Macaca fascicularis: one gene and its partners. The protein of the gene in region 1 interacts with the protein of each later gene in a biochemical or structural test. Links are inferred from orthologs where the notes say so. Each region holds a gene or a part of one and is shown on either strand. Other genes may lie near its edges. The genes, in order: YWHAZ, CDC25B, BAD and PRKCZ.

Evidence for each region.
Region 2: the proteins of YWHAZ (region 1) and CDC25B form a complex in vitro, tested with the Homo sapiens proteins (2 studies listed by BioGRID and IntAct). The link is inferred for Macaca fascicularis from reciprocal best matches to the Homo sapiens genes YWHAZ and CDC25B.
Region 3: the proteins of YWHAZ (region 1) and BAD form a complex in vitro, tested with the Homo sapiens proteins (3 studies listed by BioGRID). The link is inferred for Macaca fascicularis from reciprocal best matches to the Homo sapiens genes YWHAZ and BAD.
Region 4: the proteins of YWHAZ (region 1) and PRKCZ form a complex in vitro, tested with the Homo sapiens proteins (2 studies listed by BioGRID, with this or other methods). The link is inferred for Macaca fascicularis from reciprocal best matches to the Homo sapiens genes YWHAZ and PRKCZ.

The regions. Positions count from the first base shown.
Region 1 is NC_088382.1:110,572,379-110,579,805, forward strand, and holds part of YWHAZ (14-3-3 protein zeta/delta), read right to left. Parts: exon of another isoform or gene 5,849-7,427; intron 4,346-5,848; 5' UTR 4,335-4,345; coding exon 4,041-4,334; intron 1-4,040.
Region 2 is NC_088384.1:83,490,596-83,498,549, forward strand, and holds the start of CDC25B (M-phase inducer phosphatase 2), read right to left. Parts: upstream 5,458-7,954; 5' UTR 5,339-5,457; coding exon 5,314-5,338; exon of another isoform or gene 5,081-5,313; coding exon of another isoform or gene 5,071-5,080; intron 4,884-5,070; exon of another isoform or gene 4,663-4,883; coding exon 4,461-4,662; intron 3,596-4,460; coding exon 3,468-3,595; intron 2,811-3,467; coding exon 2,759-2,810; intron 936-2,758; coding exon 894-935; intron 758-893; coding exon 721-757; intron 478-720; coding exon 127-477; intron 1-126. UniProt on the Homo sapiens protein: Tyrosine protein phosphatase which functions as a dosage-dependent inducer of mitotic progression. Directly dephosphorylates CDK1 and stimulates its kinase activity.
Region 3 is NC_088388.1:10,106,910-10,114,814, reverse strand, and holds the start of BAD (bcl2-associated agonist of cell death), read right to left. Parts: upstream 4,807-7,905; 5' UTR 4,448-4,806; exon of another isoform or gene 4,185-4,447; intron 4,080-4,184; exon of another isoform or gene 3,974-4,079; intron 3,750-3,973; 5' UTR 3,742-3,749; coding exon 3,555-3,741; intron 1-3,554. Other genes in the region: integral membrane protein GPR137, read left to right, coding at 5,900-6,256, 6,340-6,389, 7,096-7,321, 7,441-7,590, 7,716-7,844. UniProt on the Homo sapiens protein: Promotes cell death. Successfully competes for the binding to Bcl-X(L), Bcl-2 and Bcl-W, thereby affecting the level of heterodimerization of these proteins with BAX. Can reverse the death repressor activity of Bcl-X(L), but not that of Bcl-2.
Region 4 is NC_088375.1:232,632,037-232,639,463, forward strand, and holds part of PRKCZ (protein kinase C zeta type), read right to left. Parts: intron 4,519-7,427; coding exon 4,466-4,518; intron 2,920-4,465; coding exon 2,731-2,919; intron 1-2,730. UniProt on the Homo sapiens protein: Calcium- and diacylglycerol-independent serine/threonine-protein kinase that functions in phosphatidylinositol 3-kinase (PI3K) pathway and mitogen-activated protein (MAP) kinase cascade, and is involved in NF-kappa-B activation, mitogenic signaling, cell proliferation, cell polarity, inflammatory response and maintenance of long-term potentiation (LTP).

The DNA of each region.
Region 1 (7,427 bases):
CCTAGTGATTTGCATCTTAAAAACTACACAGCAGTTTTTAAAGCCCAAGGCATGTAATAATATATTCAGACTACAAGGGACTCAAAAACTACTTGCTTTCTTATCTTATTTCTGTTTAATGGTAGTTCTGTGGGCTGGAGATAAAAATCGGTGCCCCATAACCACAACTTAAAATTGCTCTGAGCAAATAAAAATGTAGAGCAGCAATAAAATAGAACTCAGTCGAATTAACTGAATCACTATTAAGATTACTGAACTGCAGTTGCCAACTGTTATGAATGTTAGACACACAATTTTATACTGCTTCCTGTCGTAGACTTCCTATAAAGTCATTCTTTGCCTATAGCAGTGGATTTTAAATTTTAAAATGAAATCTTTGAAAATCTGATGGTTGGCATGGACCTTCTGCCCCAGAAAAATGCACAATCTTAAAGGCTTCGTCCATCTTCTAAATTCCATTCATGGACTATGAGTTAAGAGACCCCTGCACTATTACAGGCAGGCTCACACTTTTAAATAGAACTGAAAAGCTAAGATAAACAGGACACAAAAGGTAGTCAAGGTGCTTTACCTCTCATTCCCCACAACCCTGGGGGATGAGAATTATTCCTATTTAATTGAGCTTAGTTTTCTCAGAGGGACTGAGTGATTTCCTCAGGCCATGCATCTATTAAATGGTAAAACTAGTTTGATTCAGTATCTTGAGCTCCATTATTCACCTCGACATACTTCTTTGAGTTTGAAATAGTCTTCCTAGACTGTGTTTCCTTGGTATTCATTTCATCAAGTGCAAGATAAAAACTACCCAATTTTTGGCTGCCATCTTTCAGGTTTAAAGAGGTGCTAGTGTTGAGTCCCTCCCCAACTACCAAGAGAGTTTCTGTCTAAGCATCTGGCAGGAAAGGCAGATTGCATTAGTTCACATATTGCAGTTTCAAATTAACACATGGAAGAGAAGAACTCGAAGTTCTTTTACATAATGAAAAGTCCACCTTGTGAAGAACGTGCCAGTGACCACTTTCCACGGTAATGCTCTATTAACTCTTGTAATAAGCAACATGGTCCAAGCTCTTTGCTTATTAAATGGTTAAACAATTGATAAATACATGTAACCAAAATGGGTTACTAAAAAGTTCTTCAGAAAAACTCAGAACGTTGGAGATTAGCTGCTTTTTGTAGGAAGAGTATATTTTCATAGCTATTATAAAATAGGTGCTCAATATAAAAAATCTGGTTATCACTAATGCCACCAGCCAATACCATTAATTCTGCAAAGGGATTACCTGCTTATTTTTCTCAAATTAAAGTGTGTGTATATATATATGTATATGTGTATATACATATATATATCTCAAAGCCCAGAAAAGGCTGGAGTAATAAAAAATTATAATTGATTTTTTTATCATGTAAGATCTCAAATATATAATTTAAAATATTTTTAATAATCATTAAGTAACAATGATTCAAAAACTTTCTCTAGTAGAAATACCAGTTCTGCTACACTTTATTCTTCCATTTCACTAAAAAGGGGAAAAGGAATTTTATGCAATGTTTCCAGAGTCGATGTGACCTATTTGAAATAGATGGTAGGAAAAAGAAGCCTATTATCTGTAAATATCAAATTTTCCCAAGCAGAAAAAGAAAAAGCCAGGGAAATTTTGCAGTGCTGCTGACCTAATTCTATCCTTTCTCAAAAGAAGCCTTTCTGCTTGTTTAACAAATATTTGAGCATCTACTACACGTTCTGAGTATGCAAAGATCACTAAGTCTTACTCTTAAAAAGACTAAGGCTGGAAGCCAAAGCTTGTTTAGAATTCTCTTCGAACCCACTTGTATAGTAAAGAAAACTCTCATTCATCCAAACTTTCAAAGTATAAATACCATAGACTTTTTAAGAAGCCAGTGCTATTCTAGAGGGTAACGATGTGAGTAGGGACCAGAATCAAACTCCTTAATAATCATAACAACAAGAAGCTATTAATATTAAGAGATTATCTTGTCATCCTCATCTACTGGTTCTATGCAAAAAATTTTTCTTGATAAGGAAACCAAAGGGAAGCATAGTCAAAACTGCTACAAGTTGGGCCAGACATGGTGGCTCACCCCTGTAATCCCAGCACTTTGGGAGGCTGAGGTGAGTGGATCACCTGAGGTTGGGAGTTAGACCTGACCTGGTTACCAGCCTGGCCAACAAGGTGAAACCCTATCTCTACTAAAAATACAAAAATTAGCTGGGCGTGGTGGCGCACGCCCTGTAATTCCAACTACTAGGGAGGTCAAGGCAGAAGAATTGCTTGAACACGGGAGGCTGAGGTTGCAGTGAGCTAAGATCATGCCATTGCACTCAAGCCTGGGCAACAAGAGCAAAACTCAGTCTCAAAAGAAACACAAAAAAACAAACCTGCTACAAGTCTTTTCCCAGGAGAAGACTCACAATGACAGGAACTTTTATACTTTGTATATGGAAAACATGCACATACCTACCTGGTATTGCAAATAAGCGTGTTATTAAAAGGTAAATGTCACATTCCTTTTTATTCCTAAAGTTGACTTTTGTCTTAAGGGAAATGTTAACTTGTAACATATCCTTTGAAGCCCAAATAAAAACTTTTTGATCAAGTGTAACACCAGACTGAACAAAACTGAGTTACACTTACACAGATATTAGTAAGGAGAGCAAGGAAAAAAAAAAAAAAAAACCCAATACATTTTTTATTATAGGAAAAAAATCACATTTTCAAAATTTAAATATTCTTACTACCTTAGCAAAATCACAAGATAGGTATTTGTCACTTGGCCTCAATAAAAGCAAGATATTCCTTTTTTCAACTTAGATACAAATAACAGCTATCATTGTAAAGGTTTCAATAAGAACAACAAAAAAAAAGCCCCAAGACAGATGTCTCATTGAGTTTGTGATTGTGAACCCAAATAAGCATGTTTTAAAAAATCACTATTATTTTAAAAGACAGTGTCAAGTATCATTTGAGAAAAATACAGTTTAGGAACTGATGCTATTCCATTAGTAAATACAAGTGTAAAGAAATGATAGCATCATCACAACTGTAACAAAAACCCCAAACCCACAACCACATCAGACATTATCCTATTGCTCATTACAGTACTTCTTCCATATAAATAAGGTTCATATAGTAAGTAACACACCTGGATTTCCATACTGAGTCCCACATTCAGTAACCTGTCCAGAAAAATCGCGATGCTGCTGCCCCTCTTTGTATATCAGAGTCCTGCCATACTGATTAAGTGTAACCATTTAGCAAAATCACTTTAAATATTATTCGAAAAACTGCCAGCTTGGATTTTCTACTAGTTTATCCTCAAATTTAAACTATTCTTGATCAAAAAGCCCTACTTTGTATGACAGATTAAAATTAACCAAAATGTAGTTTAATCATTTTAAGCGCAGTGCTTCAACACAGTAGGTACTGAATACTTAAAATACTCGATTCAAACTGGAAAAATCAAGCTTGAGTTATTCATAACCTTTCATCATGGTTGCGAGTGTTCAAAATTTATTTTCAAGAATTCAATGCAGGAAAGAGGTTTCATAGTCGTGACGCCAGAGTTTTCTGCATGGCTGACTCATTACATTAACATTATAGCGGCTAATCCTGAGAAGAGTACTATTTCTACAATCAGTATCCTATTACATCTCTCTTACATAAAATATGTAAAATTCCTTTATCCATAGATGTACATTTAAGATAACCAGCTATAGAGCTACCACAAATGTTCTAACCATAAGTAAAGCAGTAATACTATTAGTTTATCTTTTCAATAATACTAAAGTGTGTTATTTTTAAAACTGAACTGTTTCATCATCATTATTACAATTACTTTACATACACATATCTATAATTGTCTTAACATCTTTTTAGTTATGACACCATGAAGACTTTTAAATCTGAACACACAATGTTTAGAAGGAAAAGATAAACCGAAGAAAACGTTGAGAGTAATGTAACTGATACTCATAGGAACCTTACAGTATAATGAAGCCAGATTCAATTGATTCTCACCAGTACATCATTGCAGATATCTCTTAGCTCCGTCTCAATTTTCTCTCTGTATTCTCGAGCCATCTGCTGTTTTTTCTCAGCACCTTCCGTCTTTTGTTCAATACTTGAGACGACCCTCCAAGATGACCTACGGGCTCCTACAACATTTTTATAAGCAACTGAGAGAAGATTCCTCTCCTCATTGGATAATTCAGCTCCTTGCTCAGTTACAGACTTCATGCAGGCTGCCATGTCATCATATCGCTCAGCCTGCTCGGCCAGTTTGGCCTTCTGAACCAGCTCATTTTTATCCATGACTGGATGTTCTGCAGGGGGGAAAAAAGGAGTATTTAAAATTTTTCCCATCAAAATAAACAGACTCAAAATTATACCTGTGGTAAATGAGTTTTTTAAACCTGAAATCTAACTGCCTGTGGAAGACTGTTCACATGAAGAATTAAAATGCAGCTTCACAAAAGGATAGTCAGAAAAGGAAAAAAAATTCAGCATACTCAGCATCAGAGGTAAACTTTCAGCCATTAACACATCAGTGTAGCAAAACTAAAATTTGTCCATTAGATACAGATTTCACATGTCAAAATTACTTTCAAAAGCTGCCTCAAAAACTTACCCCAATCTTACTTGACCAAAATCTCAACTCATTTCCAATACCACTAAGTGATCTGAAATTAAGCAGCTTTTCTTCCATAGTAAAAGCATTGTTTACAGAGAACATCTGGATTTCTATCATATTTCCAGAATCATAATTCTTGTCAGTTTAACTCATGTCTTTTTACTTTCATAATACTTTCGTCAGGAGTGATTAAATTTTAGTTTTAGTGTTACCCCCACCCCAAACCTACTAGATCTCTGCAACATTTGCCAGCCAATAATAGCATAACAATTTGGGGGGAGGAATGACCAAACTGTTTGTTTTCAGATATTTTGAGTATAAATCCACCACAAAGGATCAATATCTGACCCTAATGCCTCAACTCCTTATCTTGTTATATGTCCACATGCTTTAAAAATATCCACAAGTCATGGCACTTCAACTCTTACTGTGAGTACTAGAATATATCACGTTGGAAGTACTTGATTTACAAGTGTTTCCAATGTCATTGCTCCAGTTGAAATGTAGAAGTGCTGCATTTTGCGTCTAGCTGTCATACTGTAATTGGATGTTATCACTCAAGCTGTTCTTCACCATGACTATCCACCTAATTCTCTTTCCCTCGCGTTTTAGTTTCCTAGACCTTTTCTATTTACCTCAGCTACATTTTTCTGGAAAGATATCCTTTGGCAAGTTGGCAAACAGCACAAAGATACTAATCCACACAGCGATACCACACCAAAAAAAAAAACGACTTTAGAGAAAAATATACACCCTGAATGAAGTGCACTTTTAAATTAGGTGAACGGAAGAGTTCACCTTGGAAGCTGACTCTCGAATATTAATCATCTTTTGCCTTCCCAGGGAAATCTCACAGTATTTTTTTAACTAAATGAGAACAGGTCCCCACATTTTAAACAAATTACTTAGCCACTTTGGATACAAGGTACTGGCTCAATACGTAAACTATTTAACCTTTATGACGGCATTATTTTCCTCAGGTGTCTAAATTACTAATTTTTCCCTTAGGATCTCAGAAACAGTCTCTGGTTAATTCTGCTTCTAATGAAAAATGATTTAAACCAGTACAAAGGATTCTCTACCCAATCACTTCGGTACAAGAGGAAGTGGATAAGGTTTCTCACACAGTAATGAGTGCTCCAAGGCCTCGCCTCTACACTGCGGGCAGGACTCACCGCACCCATTTAACCCTTACCTGACTTGAGACGTCGACTACGGCGAAACGAAAACCGGCAGACCCGGACTTTAAAGTGAAAATCCTCCGGTCCACTTATCCGCAACCACCCCCCTCCAGGCTCCGCCCAAGTCGGAGCCTCCGCTCAAGTCCCCGACTCTCCTTTGTCATGGCGGATCTGTGTCAGGGAGCCCAACCTACTGCAGAGTGTTAATTCCCCCCTCCTCCGACCGAAGCCAGAGGGAGGAGCAGCCCGCGCCCCCGCCCAAGCCGTGGCGCGGCGGGTGGGGGGGAGCGAAGCCGCCCGACCCCGGGGCAGAGACGCCACAGCCGCCCGCAGAAGCGGAACCACTACCAGCCCCGCCACGGACACACCCCGCTCTCCCACCCAGCGCCTTCCCCGCCACCGATCAGCGCCGATGCCCGTGTACAGCGTCTCTAAGGGACCGACAGCTGCAGGTGGGGGAGGGGACGAGAGCCACACCCAGCAGAGCGGGCCACCAGCGGCTATGCTCAGGGTCACCCGCCCCCAAAGCAGGATATGCGTCCCCAAACCGAGCGCAGGGAACCTCCAGTTCTAGTCCATCACGCACGGAAGCCGACGGCGGGCTCCCCACCCCGCTCTCTACCCCCACCTGGACTCGCAGCCCCCGTCCGCACCTCCTCCGCCCGTTCGAAAGGAGCAAAAAAAGTCAGACCCATCCCCCACCCCCACCAGGAAATTTCAAGTCCTTCCTCCCACCGCGGAGCCCACGAAATTCAGCTCTAGGTCGCAGGAGAGCCCCACCCCAAAACCTCACCCCGCAGTGTGCTCCCCCTCGCGCCGGCGCGCGGCCTCGCCCCGGTCTACCTGGCGGGCGCCGCCGTGCCAGGCCTGGGCTCCGGCCCGCTCTCGGCCAGGCCTTTCCCTCGCTCCTGGATCCCCGAGGCCCCCGGCCCCTCCCCGCCGCGCCGCCGCCTCCCGGGGTGGGGGAGGGCCGGGTCCCGCCGCCGCAGCGCCCAGCGCAGAGGCTGCGCGAGGGGGAGGGGGGCGGGGGAGGGGAAGGAGGGGGCGGCCGAGGGAGAGAAGAGGGGGCGGCCTCACCTGCGCCACTGCGATGCCCGCCGCCGCCGCCGAGTCATTATCTCGGGCGGAAGCGAGAAGGGCGACGAGGGAGGGGGTGGGAGCCCGCAGAGACAAGGGTGGGGACGGATCGCGGCCGGCGGCGCCCCGGCCATGCCTCGTCCACCTTTGGGAGCCGGCGACAGGGGGATCCCCAGGGATCTCGCGTGTGGGCGCCCTCCCCACCCCCGGGAGCAGGACGGGGGAGCGAGCACCGATCGGCGCCGGGGCGTCGATGCGGAAGCAAGGAGTCGGAGGCGGCCGCTAGCCGCCCGCCCGAACTCAGCGGAAGAGGAGCCGCCGCCCGTGTCCGCTGAGGAGACTCCGCCTCAGCCCGGCGCCGCCACCGCGGGGCTAGTGGGGATGAGAGGACGGAGCGAGGACGGCTCCCACGCGTTCGGAAGGCTGGCCTGGGACAGGAAGGAGCGGGGCGCGGCGGCGGCCAGGTTCCTCACCTGTGTCCGGAGTGGGTGGTGGCGGCGGACAGACAGGGGCTCA
Region 2 (7,954 bases), on another chromosome or scaffold:
GACTTAGAGAGGTGGGGACAGTTCCCACCCCCATGATCCTGAGGAAAGTGGGGGCTCAGGGCCACCCTCCTCTTCCCTCAGGCTGCCTCCCCAGGCCCCTGCCAGGGGTCAGCTCTCTGGATGTACCATCAGGTCGGGGGCCGAGCTGGGCCTCTGGGCAAAGGCTTCCCTGCGGCTGGCCCACTCTGCCAGAGCATGGGTGGAGCTGGGATGTGTGGGCTTCCATGGCATCTTGAAGACAAACCCATCCTGCAGCCAAGATGGGAGAGGAGGGTCCTCACGTGCCAGGAAACCACCCCAGCATGCCCCCTCCTCTCCCCGGAGAGCTCCCATCCAGGTCTTCCAGAAGCGCACGTTCTCTTTGTCTTCCCCAGAGCTGCTGGCAGCTCCACCGCCCGCCTCGCTCTTCCTCTGGCCGTCGGGCGCCTGAGAGTTGGTGATGTTCCGAAGCACAGGGCTTTGACCCAGCAGCCTCACCTAGAGAGCCAGGCAGGGCGGCAGGCAGAGGAATGAAGGCTGCATTACTCCGGCACCAGCCCAGGCCCTACCTTCTCCACCTCTCCTCCAGCTCCTCCCACTTACCTATCTACCTCTGAAACCCCATCTCCCACAGCCTGCCTGGGACACCCAGCTGGGAGGTGATCCCTGGATGCCTCCTGCTTATCTACCCCATGCCTGGCCAGCATGTCTAAGCCTCAGTCAGGCCTCAAAGACACTCACCGGCATAGACTGGAAGCGTCTGATGGCAAACTGCTCTCTACAGGAGGAAATGGGGACAGGTGAGAGCTGGGAGAGGCAGGGCAGGGACCAAGAGCATGTAGCATGCCCTTCCGGAGCCCTATACATCCTAGGGGAAAGCCCGTGGTAGATGGAAGAGGTCCGGGAACACTTACTTTCGAATGACCCGGCTGGCTGCCTGGATGGCCTGTTCAAACCTAGGACAGAGAAGGGTCCCATGCAACCTATCCTCCCTTCGCACCCATCACCCACCCCAGCACCAGGCCCCCAGTCCCCCAGTTCCCAGCACCAGGTCTCCAGTCCAGGGGGGAATAAGGGCAAAGACAAGGGCCAGGGCTCAAGCCAGTGGAAGGGGTTGGGTAGGAGGAACGCCCAACCATCAGGGGGCCCAGGTATTGGGGAGGGGGGAGATAAGAGGCAGCCTAGAATTTTAAAGGCTGCCCTGAATGAAAGAAAGCCCAGAGAATGGCAGTGATAGAGACAGCTGGGGCAGGTCACAGGGTCAGGGAGGCGTCACCAAGGCAACAGTCTCGCCAGCCTGCACCAGGCCTTCCACCTGTATGCAAATCACCTCAGCGGGGCCATATGGCTGCCAGGAAAGGCATCCATCCATCCTATGGTGATAGGCCAGGGGCACCCAGCAATGTGGGTGTCTCCAGGGCCTGGACAACAAGGCGAGGCTTCCTCTCCCCTGTGAGGAGCTGGCCTGGCTCCCGGTCCTCCCAGGACTGGGGCCTGCTTTAGGGGTCCCCCAATCAGCTCCAGTCTGATACAGCAGACCCCCTAGTGACAAACGTGCAGGGCCACATCCTCTCCTCCCTCTTATGGAATTTTCCAGGACCAGCCTCTGTCCCACCCCCTCCTTCTGCCTTAGAAGAGGCCAGCAGGCAAGGGATTCCAACACATGTTCCCTCTGAGGCCCCACCCCCCAGCCGTGTTACAGGAGACCACCTGCCACGCAGAGCTTTTGTGCATCTACACACACACACAGAGCTTCTTTCTGAGAAACTGTATAACTGTCAAAGCAGGTGTGAGGCAGGGAACCACTCAGGGATAAAGTATGAGGGGGATCCCCCCCTGGGGGGGCTGCTGTGCCTAGCCGACCCAGCATCAGGGATGACCAATTTCATTGGCTTGCACATGGGCCTTGGGGGTAGGGCAAGACTGCTCTGTGCTGCCACCAAAACCAACCTGCAGTCCCCCGACCCCACCCAATCCTCTCCCCATTTCCTGTTTGTGAACCAATCTGCAGCCCAGCGTAGTCTGATCAAAGGCAATGGGAGGTAAGACAAGTCACTACCCTAAACCCAAAACCACAGTCCCCAGCACAGGCTAGGGATGCCCAGCTGTCCCTACTAATGGCTGGCAGCTGCCCAGCTGCTTGGGCTTTAACAACTGGACAGGAACAGCTGTGCTCTGCAAGACACCACCCATGCCCACAGCCAAGGGGAAGGTGTCTGTCCAGGCCAGAGCCCACCAACTCTCTCTCCATTCCCTTGCACAAAGAGCCTAGGCCAGGGCTGGCCAGAGGGTCAAGTGTCATCGAAGTCAAAGGTTGCTCATTGGCCAAGAGCCAAATCAATCTGCAGGCAACTGTGTTTTGTTTGGCCTAGAGTGAGTTAAAGTTCTGAATTAACTGGATCATATTTTTTTAATTGTAATATTTCACAGAAAAAAAAAGGGTATAGGCAAGAAAGAAAAACGGGACATACGCTGGGCTTGTATTCCTGCAAGACATGGGCTGTAGCCTAGTATCTGCTCTCCCAATGGCCACTGTCCCCACCACCCCTGGCCCTGAGCCCACTCTTGGTTGGCTCCCATGAGAGCAGATCCTTCTCTGAGACAGGGAGCAGAATCCCAAGGCCTGAGAAGGTTAGTGAGCCCCCCGGCCATGGGGATCCTGAAGCCACCTCATGGTCTGCCTGTTTCCCCAGGCCTCCTCAGTGAGTTTATGCTAGAACCAGGATTCTTAAAGGCAGGTGCTGATTGCTTGGTAGTAGACATTCCCTTCTCTACTCACGTCTGCTCCGCCATCTGGGGGTCCACAGGGCTGGGGGAATCCATGCAGAGACCTGAGGGGACAGAGCACCTTGGTTTGAAAGTAGTGGCACTTTCTGTATACTTTCCCCAACCATGTCCCAATAAGAAAAAAAAAAGAAAAAGAAAAGTTTCTAGTTTGGACTTTGGCACATTAGAAAATGAAACAAAACCCAATCATGGACCCTGAGAGCTGACACATCGTCTCCCAAATGGTACAGGATGCCACTCCCTGTTTACTATGGAAATTTCTTTATATGTGTCTTTAAACCACAATGCTCGCTAAGCATTTTTCTTGAACTGATTTCAAACAATTTGTTCTAGAAGAGACAACAGATTTTTAAAGAAGAGTTTATAGACTAAGAATGTTCTCAAGACCAACTCAGCCCTGGGTGCTTCCCAGGTAGGGCTGTGGTTTAGGAACTTTGGTGTGTGGTTTTACACAGGTAAGATCTCATCTAGCGTAGAGGGCCCCACCCTCTCATCCACTCAGCCAGTCCACATTGGGTGTGGTGAGCCCCACATGAGGTGTGTCTTCCTCCCATCTCTGTGGAGGGTGGGGGAAAGGCTCCTGGGCCCACCAGGTTGTGGGGAGGATGTTAGTTTGATCCGCAGGGAAATCGAGAGGCCCAGGCAGCCCCCACAAACTCTCCTGGCACTGGCAGATCTCCCCAGGCTCCCCTGGGCCTCACCTGCATCAGAAGATTCGGAGGAATCTGACGACAGGGAGGATTCAGATGCCCGTCGAGACAGGGATAGGCGCGTCAGGCGGCTGTGGCTGCGGAAGAGCAGGGTCCCTACCTGACTCTTTGGGGTTTCGCTGGGAAAGGAGCAGGGACCCGGGAAAGGAGAAAGGTGGGGTTCAAAGCCTCGCTAGCCCACGTTCCCACTCCCTCACTGAGAAAAGAACTGAGCGAAATGCTACAGCGGGAAAGCAATGGCCCTGAGGGCCGGCCCTCTTCTCAGCTCAAGGCAGGTTCATTCTACAGAGGTCCTAAAGGGGCTTCTCTTTGTTGACTGGTTTAGGAAAGGTCCTCCCAGGTGCAGGGGAAGGTGAGCCCAGGGTGTGAGCAAGGTGGCCTGGATGGAGACCAGCCTAGGGGTTGGTGGTCTAGCCGAGACGCCCCGGAGAGCCTTCCCCTAAACTGTCAGACCCCCACCTTTCCAGGATTCTTCCTGAAGGATGGACCAAGACCAGGTTCTCCTACTGGAACAACCCAGCTCTCCCCTTGCACTTAGGGAGCAGGATCAGTGTTTAATTAATTGCCTTAATTCTGGGGGCAGAATTGGGGTGGAGGGAGCGGGGGTATGGATGTGTGAGTGCCCTACGGCTCTGCCACCCTCAAGTTCCCTCTCCAGGCTTGGGAATCCCATCCTGGAGCAAAATGGTGGCTATCTGGGCAGAGATTAGGGAGGCAGCGTGGTGGAGGCACAATGAGGGAGGAGGGAGTGAGGGGAAAGACTTGGAGAGGCTTGTGTAGACTGAGAGCAGGTCACCTGGAGGTCACCTGTGTGGGGGACACAGCCCAGGTCTCACCTCCCATGTCCTGTACCTCTCCACTGCCCAGGATGCCTCCCCCGGACTCCACCTCCTGGATTCGAATACCATGCCCGGTTCTCCAGGAGGCCCAGGACTCCAGACCGGGCCTCTCACCCCCATATCCAGCCTCCTTGGGGTGTCCTACCTGCCGAGCCCGGCGAGGTCATGCATGGTCTGGGTGAGGGTGGTGACCGGCGAGGAAGCGGTCGCGCGCACAGGAGACACCAGGAGGCCATGAGATCCCAGCAGGAGGCCCGGGAGGTGGCCGGGACGCTGGGCGCCACCGCGCACGCATGCTGGACTGAGAGCCGAGCCTGGCGCGGGCTCCGGCTGGGGCACCTCCATCGCTGCGGGGCCGGCAGAAAGCTGGCTGGAGGGCCGGGCGCAAGGCAGCCAACAAACGCCGGCACAGCTGGCTGGGCCGAGGGAGGCAGCGGGCGCGGAGGGGGTGAGGGGGGGAAGGGAGGGAGGGAGGAAGAGCCACAGGGCTAGGCGCGAGGGAGGAGAGGGATGCGGGGAGGGCGGGGGCGAGGGACGCAGGGCTCAGGCACCAGCCTGGGAAGCCTCTAGTTGCAGCTGCCACTTCCACCTCCTTATATATTCGAAAAATAACAGCGGCCGCGCCGCCGGACGCCACCAATGGGGTAGCGGGTTAGAGGAGGGCGGGATTGAGGGCGGGGCCCTCAGGGCGAGAGGCGCGGAGGCTGGATATCTAGGCTTTGGGTGGGCCGGAGGAATTAGGAATCATCCCATACCCTCGCACATCCCCCTGGCGCGAGGATCCAGGCCTCCCGAAATCCTCCTGTCGCGACATGGTTTGGAGCTCCATACTCCCAAAGGCAGCAGCAACGCCCTAGGGTGGCCTCCGCTGGACCCCCCGCGGCATATCGTCACCTGGTATCACCGCTAGGGACGGGGAGAGGCTCCAACCGGCTCCCGGAAGTTTGCTAAACACAGCTGGGCTGTGCGGTCTGCGTTAGATACCCCATTTTACAGACCTGGACGTTGAGGCGTGAAGTTCATTAATTCGTTCAAGGTCACGCGGTTGGGCAGGCGGTGGGCCAGGATTCGCTCCCTCCAGGCGCCTCTGACCCCGCAGCCTCCCCGCCCCCGCAAGTGGCTGCGCTGAGCAGCAGCAAAACGTCATTCGCAGGCGGAGCGCCCAGCTTAGGAGGTGGGAGGGCAGTGGGGCCCCCAAGCGGAATTGACGGGCGCTTTCGGGGGACCCCAGGTTAGATGTTACCCCAACCAGTCCAATTTTCGCGGCAGCCCCAGTAGAGGCTCTGAATGGTGGAACTAGGCATGGATTTCCGCGGCTGGGGGTCGAGGAGGGTGTCAGCAACCAGAGAAGTTAATTAAGTATCACGCCCATTGATGACTTAGCTAACTTGGTGGCAATGGCACCATATTATTTAATTGGTGTTTCTTTGATGACCAGACCAGAGAGGCTGAATTTGTCATTCATTTAAGCCAAGCATCTTCCAATTATCTTTTTCTTTTTCCTTTTTTTTTTTTTTTTTTTTTTTTTTGAGATGGAGTCTCGCTCTGTCAACCCGGCTGGAGTGACTCGGTGATCTCTGCTCACTGCAAGCTCCGCCTCCCGGGTTCAAGCGATTCTTCTGCCTCAGCCTCCCGAATAGCTGGGACTACAGGCGCACGCCACCACACCTGATTTTGTATTTTTAGTAAAGACGGGGTTTCACCATATTGGTCAGGCTGGTCTCGAACTCCTGACGTCGTGATCCACCTGCCTAGGCCTCCCAAAGTGCTGGGATTGCAGGCATGAGCCACAGCGCCAGGCCCATCTTCCAATTATCTAAATGCCTTCCAGCCCCGCCCGTTTTCCAGGCCTCCTGGAACAAGAGGGCTGAAGGCTGCACTGAAAAGCCAGTGGGTAGTAAGCAGCTTTCATATAGCATACGGTATCTCCAGGTTAGAAGTGGCCTCTGGCTGGGCGGGCAGTTGGGGGGCGGGCTGCAGTTCAGCAAGGCAGGAGCGCCCCTTCTAGTGAAGTCCCAGCCACCCGGACCCAAATTTTTGGGGGTGGCAAAAGGGACGGCCTGGTGATGGGGGGCTTGGTGGGCCAATGCACGTGAAGGGGAGGGGAAGACCCCAGCCCCACCTGAGAGGGGTGGCCAACGTGGGAACCATGACCTTTCCTTTTCTCCACATTTTGCCCAGTTCCTGTGCTGTGCAGAGGGCTCTGCAAGACTGAATTTCCGGTTCATCCTCCCTGGGTCAGGGGTCATGCCCTGGACCTCCAGCCACTACTTCCAGTGAGGATGTGACTGCCCTTAGTGCCAGGAGGGAAGGGGGAAGTGCCCTTGTGAGGCTACCCAGCCCCAAAACCAGAAATAAAACCCCCAAGATTTGCGTTTTCAAAATAAACACAGCAGGTATCCCCCCTACCCCTCACCCAGCCAACATACAGGGCAACAATGCAGGGTGGGCATTATACTGTTGAATCCCTTGAAATCCCAGTCAGGTCACCTCTGGGCCGGTGAGTGGGGAGGTGGGCAAGACCATAGAGGGGTTCTGGGTTTTTTTGTTTGTTTGTTTGTTTGAGATGGAGTCTCACCGTGTCACCTAGGCTTAAGGGCAGTGGCATGATCTCGGCTCACTGCAACCTCCGCCTCCTGGGTTCAAGCGATTTTCCTGCCTCAGCCTCCCGAGTAGCTGGAATTACAGGTGCCCGCCACCATTCCCGGCCAATTTTTTATTTTCAGTAGAGACAGGGTTTTGCCATGTTGGCCAGTCTGGTCTTGAACTCCTGACCTCAGGTGATCCACCCATCTCGGCCTCCCAAAGTGCTGGGATTACAGGCGAGCCACTGTGCCTGGCCCACATACATAATTTAAAATATGCTAGTAGCCACATTTAAAACAATAAAAAAGAAACATGAAATTACTGTAATATTTTATTCAATGTAATGTATTCAAAATATTATTTGACATGTTATCAATATATAATTATTGAGATATTTTACATACTTTTTCGGATACCAAGTCTTCAAACTCTAATATGCATTTTACACCCCCAGCACATCTCAGTTTGTACTTGCAACATTTAAAGGGCTCAATAGTGCTGGAACTGTGGCTCACACCTGTAATCCCAGCAACTCCAGAGCCTGATGCAGGGGAATTGCCTGAGGCTAGTAATTCAAGACCAGCCTGAGCAATATGGTGAAACCCTGTCTTTACAAAACATTTTTAAAAAACTTAGCCGGGTGTGGTGGCCCCTGCCTATAATCCAAGCAACTCACCTGGCGCAGTGGCTCACACCTGTAATCCCAGCACTTGGGGAGGCCGAGGCAGGTGGATCACAAGGTCAGGAGCTCGAGACCAGCCTGGCCGACATGGTGAAAACCCATCTCTACTAAAAACACAAACATTAGCTGGGCCTGGTGGCAGGCACCCATAATCCCAGCTCCTCAGGAGGCTGAGGCAGGATAATTGCTTGAACCTGGGGGGTAGGGGTTGCAGTGAGCCAAGATCGCGCCATTGCACTCCAGCCTGGGTGAAAAGAGCAAGACTCCGTCTCAAAAACAAACAAACAAACAAACAAACAAACAATCCAAGTGACTCTGGAGGTTAGCTTGAACCCAGGAGTTTGAGTCTGCAGTGAGCTATAATTCCACCA
Region 3 (7,905 bases), on another chromosome or scaffold:
CCCCACATCCAGTCCATCAGCAGATCCTGCCAGTTCTGCTTTAAAAATAAATCCAGGGCCGGGCGCGGTGGCTCAAGCCTGTAATCCCAGCACTTTGGGAGGCCAAGACGGGCGGATCACAAGGTCAGGAGATTGAGACCATCCTGGCTAACACGGTGAAACCCCGTCTCTACTAAAAAATACAAAAAAACCTAGCCGGGCGAGGTGGCGGGCGTCTGTAGTCCCAGCTACTAGGGAGGCTGAGGCAGGAGAATGGCGTGAACCCGGGAGGCGGAGCTTGCAGTGAGCTGAGATGCGGCCACTGCACTCCAGTCTGGGCGACAAAGCGAGACTCTGTCTCAACAAAAAAATAAAAATAAATAAATAAATAAATAAATAGGCCGGGCGCGGTGGCTCAAGCCTGTAATCCCAGCACTTTGGGAGGCCGAGGCGGGCGGATCACGAGGTCAGAAGATCGAGACCATCCTGGCTGACACGGTGAAACCCCGTCTCTACTAAAAAAAAAAAAATACAAAAAACTAGCCGGGCGAGGTGGCGGGCGCCTGTAGTCCCAGCTACTGGGGAGGCTGAGGCAAGAGAATGGCGTGAACCCGGGAGGCGGAGCTTGCAGTGAGCTGAGATCCGGCCACTGCACTCCAGCCTGGGCGGCAGAGCGAGACTCCATCTCAAAAAAAAAAAATAAATAAATAAATAAATAAATCCAGAGGCCAGCTACTTCTCACCACCTCCCTGGTGACTCTCTGAATGTCTAAATCTGACCATGCTGCCTCTGTTCAAAGCCTTTCCAGGTTTTCACCCAAAGGCAAAGTCAGAGTCCTTACAATGACCTCCACCTTTAGGTCTCCAAAGACCCTTTCCTAACCCCCTCCTCTAGGCCCACCCTAGCTGGGAGCAGGTGTTGCCCTCAGGGCCTTAGCACCTGCCCTTCCCTCTGCCTGGAACTCTCTTCCCATCATCCCTGTGGCCTTGGTTCCAGTGGTGCTTCTCACCAAGTGAGTGTTGACCACCTCTGCTACCATCACTCCCCCAGCCCCGTGACTCTGGATTCTCTTAACTCTTTTTTTTTTTTTTTTTTTGAGACGGAGTCTCACTCTGTTGCCAGGCTGGAGTGCAGTGGTGTGATCTTGGCTCACTGCAACCTCCGCCTCCCGGGTTCAAGTGATTCTCCTGCCTCAGCCTCCTGAGTAGCTGGGACTATAGGTGCATGCCACCATGCTTGGCTAATTTTTGTATTTTTAGTAGAGATGGGGTTTCACCATGTTGGCCAGGCTGGTCTCCATGTCTTGACCTTGTGATCCGCTCGCCTCAGCCTCCCAAAGTGTTGAAATTACAGGTGTAAGCCTCCGCGCCCAGCTTCTCTTAACTCTTACATGCTGCCCCCATACAAATCTTCTCATCCATGATAGGATGCACTTTTGTGCTTGTTTGCTTATGGACCCACCACGTCACTAGAATGTAAGCTCCACGAGGGCAAGGATTCCTGATGCTTGGGTTCACCGAGGTCCCCCTAGCAACTGGAACAACCTGTGTCACATGGTGAACACTCACTCTGAGACACAAGTCAATGCTGAGTGTGTGTGGCGGGGGGCAGAAAGCAGGGGGAGTTTGTGAGCAGAAAAACAGCCAAGTGCAAGCTCAGAAAGTTAAAGAAAGCTGTGGAGGCCGAGCATGGTGGCTCACGCCAGTAATCCCAACACTCTGGGAGGCCAAGATGAGAGGATCTCTTGGGCCCAGGAATTCGAGACCAGGCTGGGCAACAAAGCAAGACCCCACCTCTACAAAAAATAAAAAATGAGCTGGTGTGGCAGCATGTACCTGTGGTCCCAGCTGTTCTGGAGGCTGAGGCAGGAGGATTGTTTGAGCCCAGGAGTTTGAGACCTGCCTGGGCAACAAAAGGAGACCCGCCCCTGCCCTCGTCTCTAATGAAAACATGAAAAATGTCGGGCGTGGTGGCTCACGCCTGTAATTCCAACACCTTGGGAGGCCGAGGCGGGCGGATCACAAGGTCAGGAGATAGAGACCACCCTGGCTAACATGGTGAAACCCTATGTCTACTAAAAATACAAAAAATTAGCCGGGCATGGTGACACATGCCTGTAGTCCCAGCTACCTGAAAGACTGAGGCAGGAGAATTGCTGGAACCCAGGAGGCGGAGGTTGCAGTGAGCTGAGATTGCACCACTGCACTCCAGCCTGGGTGGCAGAGTGAGACTCTGTCTCAGAAAAAAAAAAAAAAAAGAAAAAGTTAAAAATAAATTAACTAGGTGTAGTCCACACACCTGTATTCCCAGTTACTTGGGAGGGTAAGGTGGGAGGATCGCTTAAGCCCAGAAGTTCTAGGCTGCAGTGAGCTGAGGTCACACCTCTGTACTCCACACCTCTGTACTCCCTCCTAGGTGATAGAGCGAGACCCTGTCTCAAAACAAACAAAACAACAACAACAAAAAAAGAAAGCAAGCTATGGGATCCAATCTGAGAGAACTGAGTGTGTGTGTTTGTGCGTAAGAGAGGGAGGGGAAGGAGGCCTCTTAAGCCTTCTTAATCCTGAAAATGGGAAGGAGGTCGTTTAAGCTTCAGTGCCAGAGTGACATGACCTAGTTTTCTATTTTTAGAGATGGGGTCTGGCTATGTTGCCCAGGTTGGTCTTGAATTCCTGGGCTCAAGCCAGCCTCCTGAGCTGCTGGGACTACAGACATGGGCCACCCCACCTGGCTTGACCTGGTTTTTGTGTTCAGAAGATATATGTTGTTGTTCCAGGTGCCAAGGCCAGTGCTGGGCACAGGGGTGGTGGAGCCTACTGAGAAATGGACACTGAACCCCAGTGTCTATCCTTCCATCTTGGAGCCTGTGCTTCCCACCCCACACAGCCCTGCTGTCTGGGAGGACCGTCTGCCCCTTGAGGTCACCTGCCCCTGGCCTTTGTGCCAGGACAGGCCTGCTGTGGGCGCAAGCCTCGGGGCAAGAAAGAACACATCTGGGAGCTGGAAGGCCCAATCCCAGGGAAAGCATGTAGCCTGGGGCAGGGCACCAAGGAGTCTTCCAGCCCCCACCTTCTAAGGAAAGAAATGCCAGGCAGGTATGGCCTTAGGTAGGCCCCTTTTCCTTTTCGGATCACTGCCTGCCTGCCTGTCACTAATTTCTGTCCTGGCCCCACACTGAGAGCTGCCATATATATATATACATATTTTAAGAGATGGAGTCTCCCTAAGTCACCCAGGCTGGCTTTGAACTTCTGGGCTCAAGCGATCCTCCTGCGTTGGCCTCCCAAAGTGCTGGGATTACAGGTGTGATCCGTCATGCCTGGCAGCTACCATTTTTTAGCTTTAATGTGCACCAGCTCTGTAATCAAGTGCATCCTATATGTTCCTGCTAATTAACTCAACAGTCCTACAATGGTGGTTATTAATTGCTCTGTTTTACAAAAGAGGAAACTGGGGCTCTGAGAGGTTAGGGACCGACCCAAAGCCTTCAGTGCCCGTGGATACAACTGGGATGCAGGGAGCCAGTGGGCTGGGGGTGAGGTGACCCGGCAGGTGGAGGTGGTGGGGTACTTACCTCCATGATGGCTGCTGCTGGTTGGCTGCTCCTGCTGGTGACTGGCGTCCCACAGGAGGCCTGGGGCCTGGCGATGATGCTTGCCGGAGTCTGAGGGCCTGTTCCCCGCGGGGCTGGGGCCCAGGCCCCTCTCTGCAGAGCTGGAGTCTTCCTGCTCACTAGGCTCAAACTCTGGGATCTGGAACATGCTCTGGGCTATGAGGACAAGATGTTAGGTAGTCAAGGCACAGCTGGGGCCAACGGTGGCCCTGGAAGGCAGAGGCAGGTACCCTTGGCTCCCTCTCCCACCCTAGGGCCCCCAGGCCCGCCAGGCCTCCCGGGCCCTCATTTGTCTGCTGGGTCTGGCCTGGCAGGGAGCTGATGCTGTCGGCTCAGGGCCTCAATCTCCCCTTAGAACCCTGGTGGACCCAGGCCCCTACCCAGGCCCCGCCCCGCCCGTGGTGACGGCGCACAGGTCTCACCCCAAGCCCGATCTCGAGGCCCCTGACCCGGGCCTGCCGCCTCCCTCCTGCACCCCGGGCTCCCGGCCCTAGTTGCTTGGGCAACGGGAACTGTCAGCGACCTGGCCCAATCACCTCTCGGAACGTCACTCGGGTAGGTCCAGAGGCGGGGTCAACCCGGCCCGGCCCCGCCTCCCCGCCGGACCTACGGCTACTCGCCCGCAGCCTTTTTTCTCCCTCCTGCAGCCCTGGTGCTCATATCCTCGCTGCCTCACACCTTGGACGTGTGTGGGAGCAGGAGAGGGATTCTCTGGGGTCCCCATTTGGAACCTGGAGACCCACTTCTGCCAACAAGTCCTTCAGCCCCTCTGGACCTTAGTTTCCCCCCAGTGAAGTGGGGATAGTGACAGCTCCCCCAGGAGCCAGTGAAAACTTTGTGAAGGGAGTGATTACTGCGGGCGAAGGCGCTTGGCACAGCCACAACTGAAGCTCAGCCGTCGGATGCGATTATTGTTGCTATTGTTACCGCTCCGCCTGGACTGGGTGCCCGGTCGGAAAGTCCCGCTCCCCGCTCCTCCTCCCAGGCGTGGAAGCTTCGCGCCGCCCGCCTCGGGGGACACCTCCCGCGCCACCTCGGGGGCACTGGAGATAAGGAGAGGAACCTCCTCCCTGGCTGGGATGGCTGCCCGGGCGCGGGAGGAGGGCCGGGGACCCGGTGAGGGTGGACCGTAGGATCCGTGGGGGCTTCAGGCCTGGCAGGCGGCCGGCCAGGTGAGCAGGGCCGCGGGCGCGCCGGGGCGGGGGGCGGGCCCGCGCTGGGGATTCGGGGCTCCGCGGGTTCAGGCCCGGGGGCGGGGCCCGGGGGCCATCTTGGCTATGGGCGGAAGTTTTCTTCAGAGGCCGAGGGACGGGAATCCGTTGCCGCCCCCGGCTGGGTGGCACGACCCCGATTTGGGTATAGGAGAGAGGAGCGTGGGAATTGGCGGCCCCCCATACAAGTTAAGGCGGACCGCCCAGGCACAGCCCACCCGGGGACCCCCTGGATGCGGCACGGCCCCCGCAATTCGGCCGCCCTCCAGCCGCCTCCCGTAACCCCGGGCGCCCGCCAGCGGCGCAGCTCGCGCCAATTCTCGTACGGTTTCACGCCGGGTGCGGCGCTGGACTGCGGAGCCGGTCGGGCCCCTGCGCAATTTGCGTAGCGAACAGCGCCCGCGCAGGCGCAGGAGGGGGCGGAGCAGCGGGAGCCGGGGAGCCGGAGCCCCGGGTCCCCACGACCTGAGCCGGCTCTCCCATCAGCGGCCTGAGGACCTGGCATCCGCCTCCTCCCGCCCCTTGAGGCTGGAGAGTGGACGCGGTGGGGGGGGGTTGGGCGGGGGGCAGCTTTCGAGAATTACAAGGACAGAAGGCAGAGGCCCTCCCCATCCGCATTACTGGAGGAGAGCCTCCCCCAGCTTGGGGAGGGGGAGAGCGGGGCATTGGGCGCCCCCTGCAGCGGCCGCTGCCCTGACCCGACGGGCATCGGCTGGCTCTCCCCCTCCAGCCAGGACGACACGAGCGACCGAGGCCAGGGACTCCGCTCCTTGGGCCTCTGCATCCCCCCATCCCTGACTCTGGGGTAGGCCCAGGGAGGAGACACCCCCAACCCCCACCCGGTCTGCCCTGGAGAGAAGAGACTGCCCTTCCATGCCCCTGAGTGAGGGGCCTGGGGCCCAGGCTGCCCGTGTTCCCCAAGGGCAAGGGTCTCTCTGTTGAGGAGGAGGGGCCTGTCAGCCACAACTTCTTTCCTCCTCAGCGCCCCATCTCCCTCTCTGCACCCTGCAATTCCCACCCCTCCGTATTTATTACCCTGGCCCTGCCGACAGCCCCTCCTTCTCTGTCTCCGGGATTCAGGCCTCCCTCCCTGACATGGAGAGTAACCTGTCTGGCCTGGTGCCTGCTGCCGGGCTGGTGCCTGCGCTGCCACCTGCTGTGACCCTGGGGCTGACGGCTGCCTACACCACCCTGTATGCCCTGCTCTTCTTCTCCGTCTATGCCCAGCTCTGGCTGGTGCTTCTGTATGGGCACAAGCGTCTCAGCTATCAGACGGTGTTCCTGGCCCTCTGTCTGCTCTGGGCTGCCTTGCGTACCACTCTCTTCTCCTTCTACTTCCGAGATACTCCCCGCGCCAACCGCCTGGGGCCCTTGCCCTTCTGGCTTCTCTACTGCTGCCCCGTCTGCCTGCAGTTCTTCACCTTGACGCTTATGAACCTCTACTTTGCCCAGGTAACCAACTGTGGTCCCGGGTGGGGGGTGGGAGGTGGCAAGCCTTAAGGACCCACGGGAGTGAAGGGCATCTCTGCTCCTAGGTGGTGTTCAAGGCCAAGGCGAAGCGTCGGCCGGAGATGAGCCGAGGCTTGTAAGTACTCGGGACACTGGTGGGCTCAACCTCCAGGTCAGGGGCAGGGGACAGTCCCATGTAGATCCCTTCCCACCTCTCAGGGCTGAGACAAAGACAACCCAGGGAATGTCTGTGGAAGAGCTTGGAAAAGTTAAAGCACCTGGCGCAGATGGCTCAGCAGAGGCGTTGCAGATCTGCAAGGCACAAGAATAGGAATGGTTGTGGTAGTGTGAGGGAGAGGAACCCAGTGGCATCCACCATGGAGGGTGAGCTGGAGGCTCCAGTCCATGGAAGCACCAAAGCCATATGCACTCCTGGGTGACCTGGGGCCGCAATGCCCTCGTCATTTGTACAGTGTCTTACGGTTTATAAAGAGCTTTCCCAGCCATCTTTCATTTGTACAATTTCCCTGAGAGGCTACTCTCCTCCCTTGAGAGATGAAGAAACTGAGGCCCAGCCAGGTAAGGCATCAGGATCAAGGTCGCAGAGCTGGGGCTCAGACGGAGACTTCTGACTCCAGTTGGTGCCCCTTCCGAGGTACCATGGCTGTCAGTCACCTTCTGACCTCTTTGAGCCTCAGTTTCTCCATCTATAAGAATGGAGGAACAGGGCTCAGACTGGATGCCCTGAGTTCTGTGGACACTGGGGTTTCCTGCAGGAGGTGGGGCAGGTGGTGAGTGCTGAGGGCTGTTGAGGGCCCGGGCTGACTGTGCTGTGGCTGCAGGCTGGCTGTCCGAGGGGCCTTTGTGGGGGCCTCGCTGCTCTTTCTGCTGGTGAACGTGCTGTGTGCTGTGCTCTCCCATCGGCGCCGGGCACAGCCCTGGGCCCTGCTGCTTGTCCGCGTCCTGGTGAGCGACTCCCTGTTCGTCATCTGTGCGCTGTCTCTTGCTGCCTGCCTCTGCCTCGTCGCCAGGCGGGCCCCCTCCACTAGCATCTACCTGGAGGCCAAGGTAGGGCCGCAGCACTGATGCCCAGGTGTCCTTTGGGATCTCTGGGCAGCGGTTCTCAGGGTGTAGAGGAAGCTGGGAGCCTTCTCTCCCTGAGGGTCCTCTGTTGTTACCTGTGCCAGGGGACCAGTGTGTGCCAGGCGGCCGCGATGGGTGGAGCCATGGTCCTGCTCTATGCCAGCCGGGCCTGCTACAACCTGACAGCACTGGCCTTGGCCCCCCAGAGCCGACTGGACACCTTCGATTACGACTGGTACAATGTGTCTGATCAGGTGGGCATACGCATGTCTGCCACCTCCTTAGTAGCCGTGGCACCTTGGCCCCAGCTGGCCTGGGCCCTGTCCCACTGCCCCCTTGGCGTGACTGCAGACTGGCACCAGCCCCTGCCTTCCCACAGGCGGACCTGGTAAATGACCTGGGGAACAAAGGCTACCTGGTATTTGGCCTCATCCTCTTCGTGTGGGAGCTGCTGCCCACCACCCTGCTGGTGGGCTTCTTCCGGGTACACCGGCCCCCACAGGACCTGGTAAGGGTCTGCACCCTCCCCTGTGGGCCCAGTGGAGAGGGGCAGATGCTGGGAATCCTGG
Region 4 (7,427 bases), on another chromosome or scaffold:
GTGCACGCGCAAACGTGGGGCCTCCACCGGACAACGGAACAACATTACCCAGCCAGGCAGAGAGAGGAAGGCCTGAGCAAGCAGCCACACGGATGGACCCCGGAGAAGCCAGACACTAAAAGCTCACACACAGCTCCATTCTGTCAAATGTGCAGAAGAGGGAGGTCCGCAGAGGCAGAAGGCACATTGGAGGCCACTGGGGCCAATGTAGAGGGGAAGCAGGGGGTGAGTATGGGGTCTCCTTTTGGGGTGAGGAAAATGTTCTGGAATCAGAGAGGTGATAGCTGCCCAACTCTGTACCTCAATGTGCTAAAAGCTGCCTAACTGTACACTTTATTTGTATATTTTATTCCTTTTTTAAGACAGAGTCTCATTCGGTCACCCATGCTGGAGTGCAGTAGTGTGATCTCGGCTCACTGCAATCTCCGCCTCCCAGGTTCAAGTGATTCTCCCGTCTCAGCCTCTGAGTAGCTGGGATTAGAGGTGTGCGCCACCACACCTGGCTAATTTTTGTATTTTTAGTATAGTTGAGTAGCTGGGATTAGAGGTGTGCGCCACCACACCTGGCTAATTTTTGTATTTTTAGTATAGTTGGGTAGCTGGGATTAGAGGTGTGCGCCACCACACCTGGCTAATTTTTGTATTTTTAGTATAGTTGGGTAGCTGGGATTAGAGGTGTGCGCCACCACACCTGGCTAATTTTTGTATTTTTAGTATAGTTGGGTAGCTGGGATTAGAGGTGTGCGCCACCACACCTGGCTAATTTTTGTATTTTTAGTATAGTTGGGTAGCTGGGATTAGAGGTGTGCGCCACCACACCTGGCTAATTTTTGTATTTTTAGTATAGTTGGGTAGCTGGGATTAGAGGTGTGCGCCACCACACCTGGCTAATTTTTGTATTTTTAGTATAGTTGGGTAGCTGGGATTAGAGGTGTGCGCCACCACACCTGGCTAATTTTTGTATTTTTAGTATAGTTGGGTAGCTGGGATTAGAGGTGTGCGCCACCACACCTGGCTAATTTTTGTATTTTTAGTATAGTTGGGTAGCTGGGATTAGAGGTGTGCGCCACCACACCTGGCTAATTTTTGTATTTTTAGTATAGTTGGGTAGCTGGGATTAGAGGTGTGCGCCACCACACCTGGCTAATTTTTGTATTTTTAGTATAGTTGGGTAGCTGGGATTAGAGGTGTGTGCCACCACACCTGGCTAATTTTTGTATTTTTAGTATAGTTGGGTAGCTGGGATTAGAGGTGTGCGCCACCACACCTGGCTAATTTTTGTATTTTTAGTATAGTTGGGTTTTCACCATATATTGGTCAGGCTGGTCTTGAACTCCTGACCTCAGGTAATCCACCCGTCTTGGCCTCCCAAAGTGCTGGGATTATAGGTGTGAGCCACCATGCCTGGCCCTAACTGTACATTTTAAAATGTCAAATTCTATGCCATGTGTATTTTACTATAATTAAAACAAAAAGGTGTATGAAGTCAGAATCAAGATTTCAACAAATAGGCCAAGAGCAGTGACTCATGCCTGTAATCCCAGCACTCCAGCAGGCTGAGTGGGGCAGAGTGCATGAGTGCAGGAATTCGAAACCAGCCTGGGCAACATAGTTGAACCCCGTCTCTACAAAAAACACAAAAAATAGCCGGGCATGGTGGTGCACGCCTGTAGCCCTGGCTCCTCTGGAGGCTGAAGTGGGAAGATCACCTCAGCCCAGCAAGAGGTGGAGGCTGCAGGAGGAGGTGGAGGCTGCAGGAGGTGAGCTGTGATCATGCTCTGCACTCCAGCCTGGGTGACAGAGTGAGACACTGCCTCTACAGAAAATACAAAATTATACAGCTGGGGGTGGTGGCTCATGCCTGTAGTCCCAACACTCTGGAGGCTGAAGTGGGAGGATCACCTGAGCTGGGGAGTTTGAGGCTACATGGGCTGTGATCAAGTCACTCCAGCCTGGGTGACAGAGTAAGACCCTGTTTAAGAACCTATTTCCAAAAAAAAAAAGATTTCAACAAATAAACCATTGATCCTATAATCAATAAACTTCTCCCCCAGAAACAGCTGGTGTGGGAAGATCTGCTACACAGAGCCGCGGCAGTTCAGCACGTCCCTCAAAGCTGGGGCCTTGTGCAGGACGGAGTGAGGCAGTGCCTCTGGGCAGCTTCCTGTCCTACCCCATCACCCGCCCGGTTCAGCTCAACCCCAGGGATTTCCTAACAAGGGTGACGACGTCCTCAAGCTCAACCGCAGTCTGCTGGAAGGCGACGTATCAGTGGTTGGCCACACACGCGAAGGTCGCGGAGACGATACCCATCTTCACCTTTTCAAAGCTTAGACACGAGTGCTCTCTGCGGTGGTCCGCTCACTGCCTGCGGTGTGCAGTGCACGGACAGCCGTGCGGGCCGGCAGCCTGAGAGCAGGAGCTGCACTGTGCATCCTGGCCGCGGAGTTGGCTGCGCCGTTTGGGTTTGTGGAGCACGCGTTGTGACATTCACACAACGGTGCCATCACCTGACCAGGCACTTTCCAGAACACGTCCCGGTTGTTACGCGACGCATCACTATTGATTTTGCGCAAACTCCATCAATACGAGGCCAGGACTCTCATGCCTGGATTAATTTTGCTAAAGCCTGGAGCATTCATTATGGCCTTCTAATGCCCTCTTCCCCAGGTGGCGGCCCCAGGGCGGTGCGTTCCCGGGACCCCGAGCGCCGTGAGAAGTGGCACCTACCTCGTCGTCATGCACCAGCTCTTTCTTCACCACTTTCATGGCGTAAATTTGGTCATTCTTCTTCAACCGCACCAGGAGAACCTTGGCGTAGCTCCCGCGCCCTATGACTCTGATTAGGTCGAAGTCCTGCAGCCCGAGCCCCTGAGAGATTTTGATTCCATCCATCCCATCGATAACTGGCTTAAGGTCCTAGGAAGGGAGAACAAGACCCCAGAAAGTGAGGGGAGAGGGGTCCCGGGAGATTCAGAGGACCACGCATCACTCATGCGGTCCCAACAGAGATCTGCTCCTCAGAGCCTAGAGCCTCACGATCCCAGTCTCAGCTCTGCGTCCCACAGATCCCACCCCCACACTCCCATCTAAACCGGGGCACAAAAGGTGAGAACTTCAGGCTGTGCTTCTGAGGAAGGTGCTAGAAAGTCGGAAGCTGCTCGTTTCCACAGACCATGGCTCTGGTCACAGCTGCCAGTGGGAGGGACCCCCAGGCCTTCAGCCCTACCAGTCGGGCTGAAGAGGTGGCCACTGGGACATGCGGCCCAGGGCCTGGGCCCATCCTTCCCCATCAGGGCCCTCCCTCGGGGAAGGAAGGTAAAGCAAACGTAGCTAATGCCTGCCAAGAGCTCCCAAACCGGCAAGCACACATTATTAGAAATAATTATTAGAAATATACAGAAGAAAGGCGCTCCGAGGAAAAAGAGAAGCCTCGGCCTCCTGCAAGCTACACCAGGCAAGGATGTCGGGGTGGAGGAGGTAGTTCGCTAGGAGGTGCTGTTCTGTGCAGCAGAATGGATTCTGCTTTTTTTGAGACAGGGTCTTCCTCTGCCACCCAGGCTGGAGTGCAGTGGCGCAATCTCGGCTCACTGCAGCCTCCACCTCCCAAGCTCAGGCGATCCTCCCACCTCAGCCTCCCAAGCAGCTGGGACCACAGGCCCATGCCACCATGCCCAGCTAATTATTTTGTATTTATTTTTGCAGGAATAGGGTTTCACTACGCTGCCCAGGCTGTTCTCAAGCTTCTGGACTCAAGTGATCTGCCCGGCCCAGCCTCCCAAAATGCTGGGATTGGAGGTGTGAGCCACCGTGCCCGGCTTTGGATTCTGCTTTCTAAGTGACCCAGCCTCCCTCCAGACACAGGACGGCCAGGAAGGAGCACGAGTTGTGAGGGTGGTATGTGCCGCTGCTCTGGAAAGGTGTGGGCTTTGCCAGCGCAGCCCTTTCTTGGGTTTTACGAGCAGAGGCTGAGAACACAGCAAGCTCTTCTGTTCCCTTCTCAGGGTTTGTGGTGCAGAGCTGGCCACAGACGCGAGGCTCAGTTGAGCCTCTTCGCTTGAGTTGGGGAAGGACGTGAAAAGGCATTAGAGGGGTTTGCCAGGACGGCCAAACGAGGCAACGAAAGGAAGGCCGTGGTGCAGACACAACTTGATAAAAATTACAGCTCAAAAGCCAGCCCCTGGGCCACTGTACTGCCTGGGTGGAGAGGATGTGGGGCGCGGCTTCCCCCCAGGGTGTGGTCCCCAGACCACCCGCTGGGACAGCTGCCTCCAGGGAATCACCAAGGATGTGCCTGAAATAAGACCCAAGAACAAGGGCTTCTTTCTAGACACCCACACCCGTAAAGATTAGCAACATCCCGGACCGTATATTTCACATCCAGATTTATGTGACTGCCCCAGAGGCAGGCTCACAGACTTCCAAGAGGACGCTGGAAAGGTAGCGAGCTGCTCCGCAGACTCACCTCAGAGTCGTCTTTAATGCTGTCATGTTTCCGGGATGAGGAAATGTAAGCAACTGGCGAGAGAGGGAGGAAGAGGCGTTACGGTGTCGTCAGGAACGCGCTGGGAACACAGCGACCCCGTGGGCCCTGCTCCTCCACCAGGCGACGGTGAAGGGCAACTCTACACAGCAGCCATGTCTGATTCTATTTTAGAGTCTTTTGAAAATGCAGCTTCCTGGGCCCCACTCAGACCTGCCGACTCTGACCATGGGACCTGGGGATGTACATTTGTGACACACGCCCCCAGGGGTCCATCTGCAAATAATTAGTCATCAGATTTTGGTGTCTAGTGAATGGGTGGGTGGGGCAGGAGGGGATGTCTAGTGAAGGGATGGAGGATGACTAGATGGGGGATGAATGGAGGCCTGGATGGAAGACGGACAGATGGAGAGGTCAGTGGACAACAGATGGATGGATAAATGGAGAGGTCAGTGGACAAGAGATGGATAGATGGAGAGGTCAGTGGACAAGAGATGGATAGATGGAGAGGTCAGTGGACAATAGATGGATGAATAGATGGAGAGGTCAGTGGAAAATAGATGGATAGATGGAGAGGTCAGTGGACAATAGATGGAGAGGTCAGCGGAAAATGGATAGATGGAGAGGTCAGTGGACAATAGATGGATAGATGGAGTGGTCAGTGGACAATAGATGGACTGATGGAGAGATCGGTGGACAACAGATAGATGGATGCAGAGGTCAGTGGACAATAGATGGAAAGATGGAGACGTCAGTGGACGATAGATGCATGGGTAGATGGAGAGATCAGTGGACAATAGATGGAGAGGTCAGTGGACAATAGATGGATGGATAGACGGAGAGATCAGTGGACAACAGATAGATGATGGATGGAGAGGTCAGTGGACAATAGATGGAAAGACAGAGACGTCAGTGAACAATAGATGGATGGGTAAATGGAGAGGTCAGTGGAAATAGATAGATGGAAAGATGGAGATGTCAGTGGACAATAGATGGATGGGTAGATGGAGAGGTCAGTGGACAATAGATGGATGGATAGATGGAGAGGTCAGTGGACAACAGATGGATGGAGAGGTCAGTGGACAATAGATGGAAAGATGGAGACGTCAGTGGACAATGGATGGGTAGATGGAGAGGTCAGTGGACAATAGATGGATGGATAGATGGAGAGGTCAGTGGATAATGGATGGATGGAGAGATCAGTGGACAACAGATGGAAAGATGGAGACATCAGTGGACAATAGATGGATGGATAGATGGACAGGTCAGTGGACAATAGATGGATAGATGGAGAGATCAGTGGACAATAGATAGATGGACAGATGGAGAGGTCAGTGGACAACAGATGGATGGATAGATGGAGAGGTCAGTGGACAATAGATGGATCGATAGACACAGAGATCAGTGGACAACCGACAGATGGAAAGACGGAGACGTCAGTGGACAATAGATGGGTAGATGGAGAGGTCAGAGGACAATAGATGGATGGATAGATGGAGAGGTCAGTGGACAAGAGAGAGATGGATGGAGAGGTCAGTGGACAATAGATGGAAAGATGGAGACGTCAGTGGACAACAGATGGACGGATAGATGGAGAGGTCAGTGGACGATAGATGGATAGATGGAGAGGTCAGTGGACAATAGATGGATGGGTAGATGGAGAGGTCAGTGGACAACAGATGGATCGATAGATGGAGAGATCAGTGGAAAATAGATGGATGGATAGATGGAGAGGTCAGTGGACAATAGATGGATCGATAGACACAGAGATCAGTGGACAACAGACAGATGGAAAGATGGAGACTTCAGTGGACAATAAATGGGTAGATGGAGAGGTCAGTGGACAATAGATGGATGGATAGACGGAGAGGTCAGTGGACAAGAGAGAGATGGATGGAGAGGTCAGTGGACAATAGATGGAAAGATGGAGACGTCAGTGGACAACAGATGGACGGATAGATGGAGAGGTCAGTGGACGATAGATGGATAGATGGAGAGGTCAGTGGACAATAGATGGATGGGTAGATGGAGAGGTCAGTGGACAACAGATGGATCGATAGATGGAGAGATCAGTGGAAAATAGATGGATGCAGAGGTCAGTGGACAATAGATGGATGGATAGACGGAGAGGTCAGTGGACAAGAGAGAGATGGATGGAGAGGTCAGTGGACAATAGATGGAAAGATGGAGACGTCAGTGGACAACAGATGGACGGATAGATGGAGAGGTCAGTGGACGATAGATGGATAGATGGAGAGGTCAGTGGACAATAGATGGATGGGTAGATGGAGAGGTCAGTGGACAACAGATGGATCGATAGATGGAGAGATCAGTGGAAAATAGATGGATGCAGAGGTCAGTGGACAATAGATAGATGGAAAGATGGAGACGTCAGTGGACAACAGATGGATGGGTAGATGGAGAGGTCAGTGGACAACAGATGGATGGATAGATGGAGAGGTCAATGGACAATAGACGGATGGATGGAGAGGTCAGTTGACAACAGATGGAAAGATGGAGGCGTCAGTGGACAACAGATGGATGGACAGATGGACAGGTCAGTGGATGATGGATAGATGGAGAGATCAGTGGACAATAGATAGATGGACAGATGGAGAGGTCAGTGGACAACAGTTGGATGGATAGATGGGAGAGGTCAGTGGACAAGAGATGGATAGATGGAGAGGTCAGTGGACAATAGATGGATGGGTAGATGGAGAGGTCAGTGGACAGCAGATGGATTGATAGATGGAGAGATCAGTGGACAATAGATAGATGGATGCAGAGGTCAGTGGACAATAGATAGATGGAAAGATGGAGACATCAGTGGACAATAGATGGATGGGTAGATGGAGAGGTCAGTGGACAACAGATGGATGGATAGATGGAGAGGTCAATGGTCAATAGACGGATGGATGGAGAGGTCAGTCAACAACAGATGGAA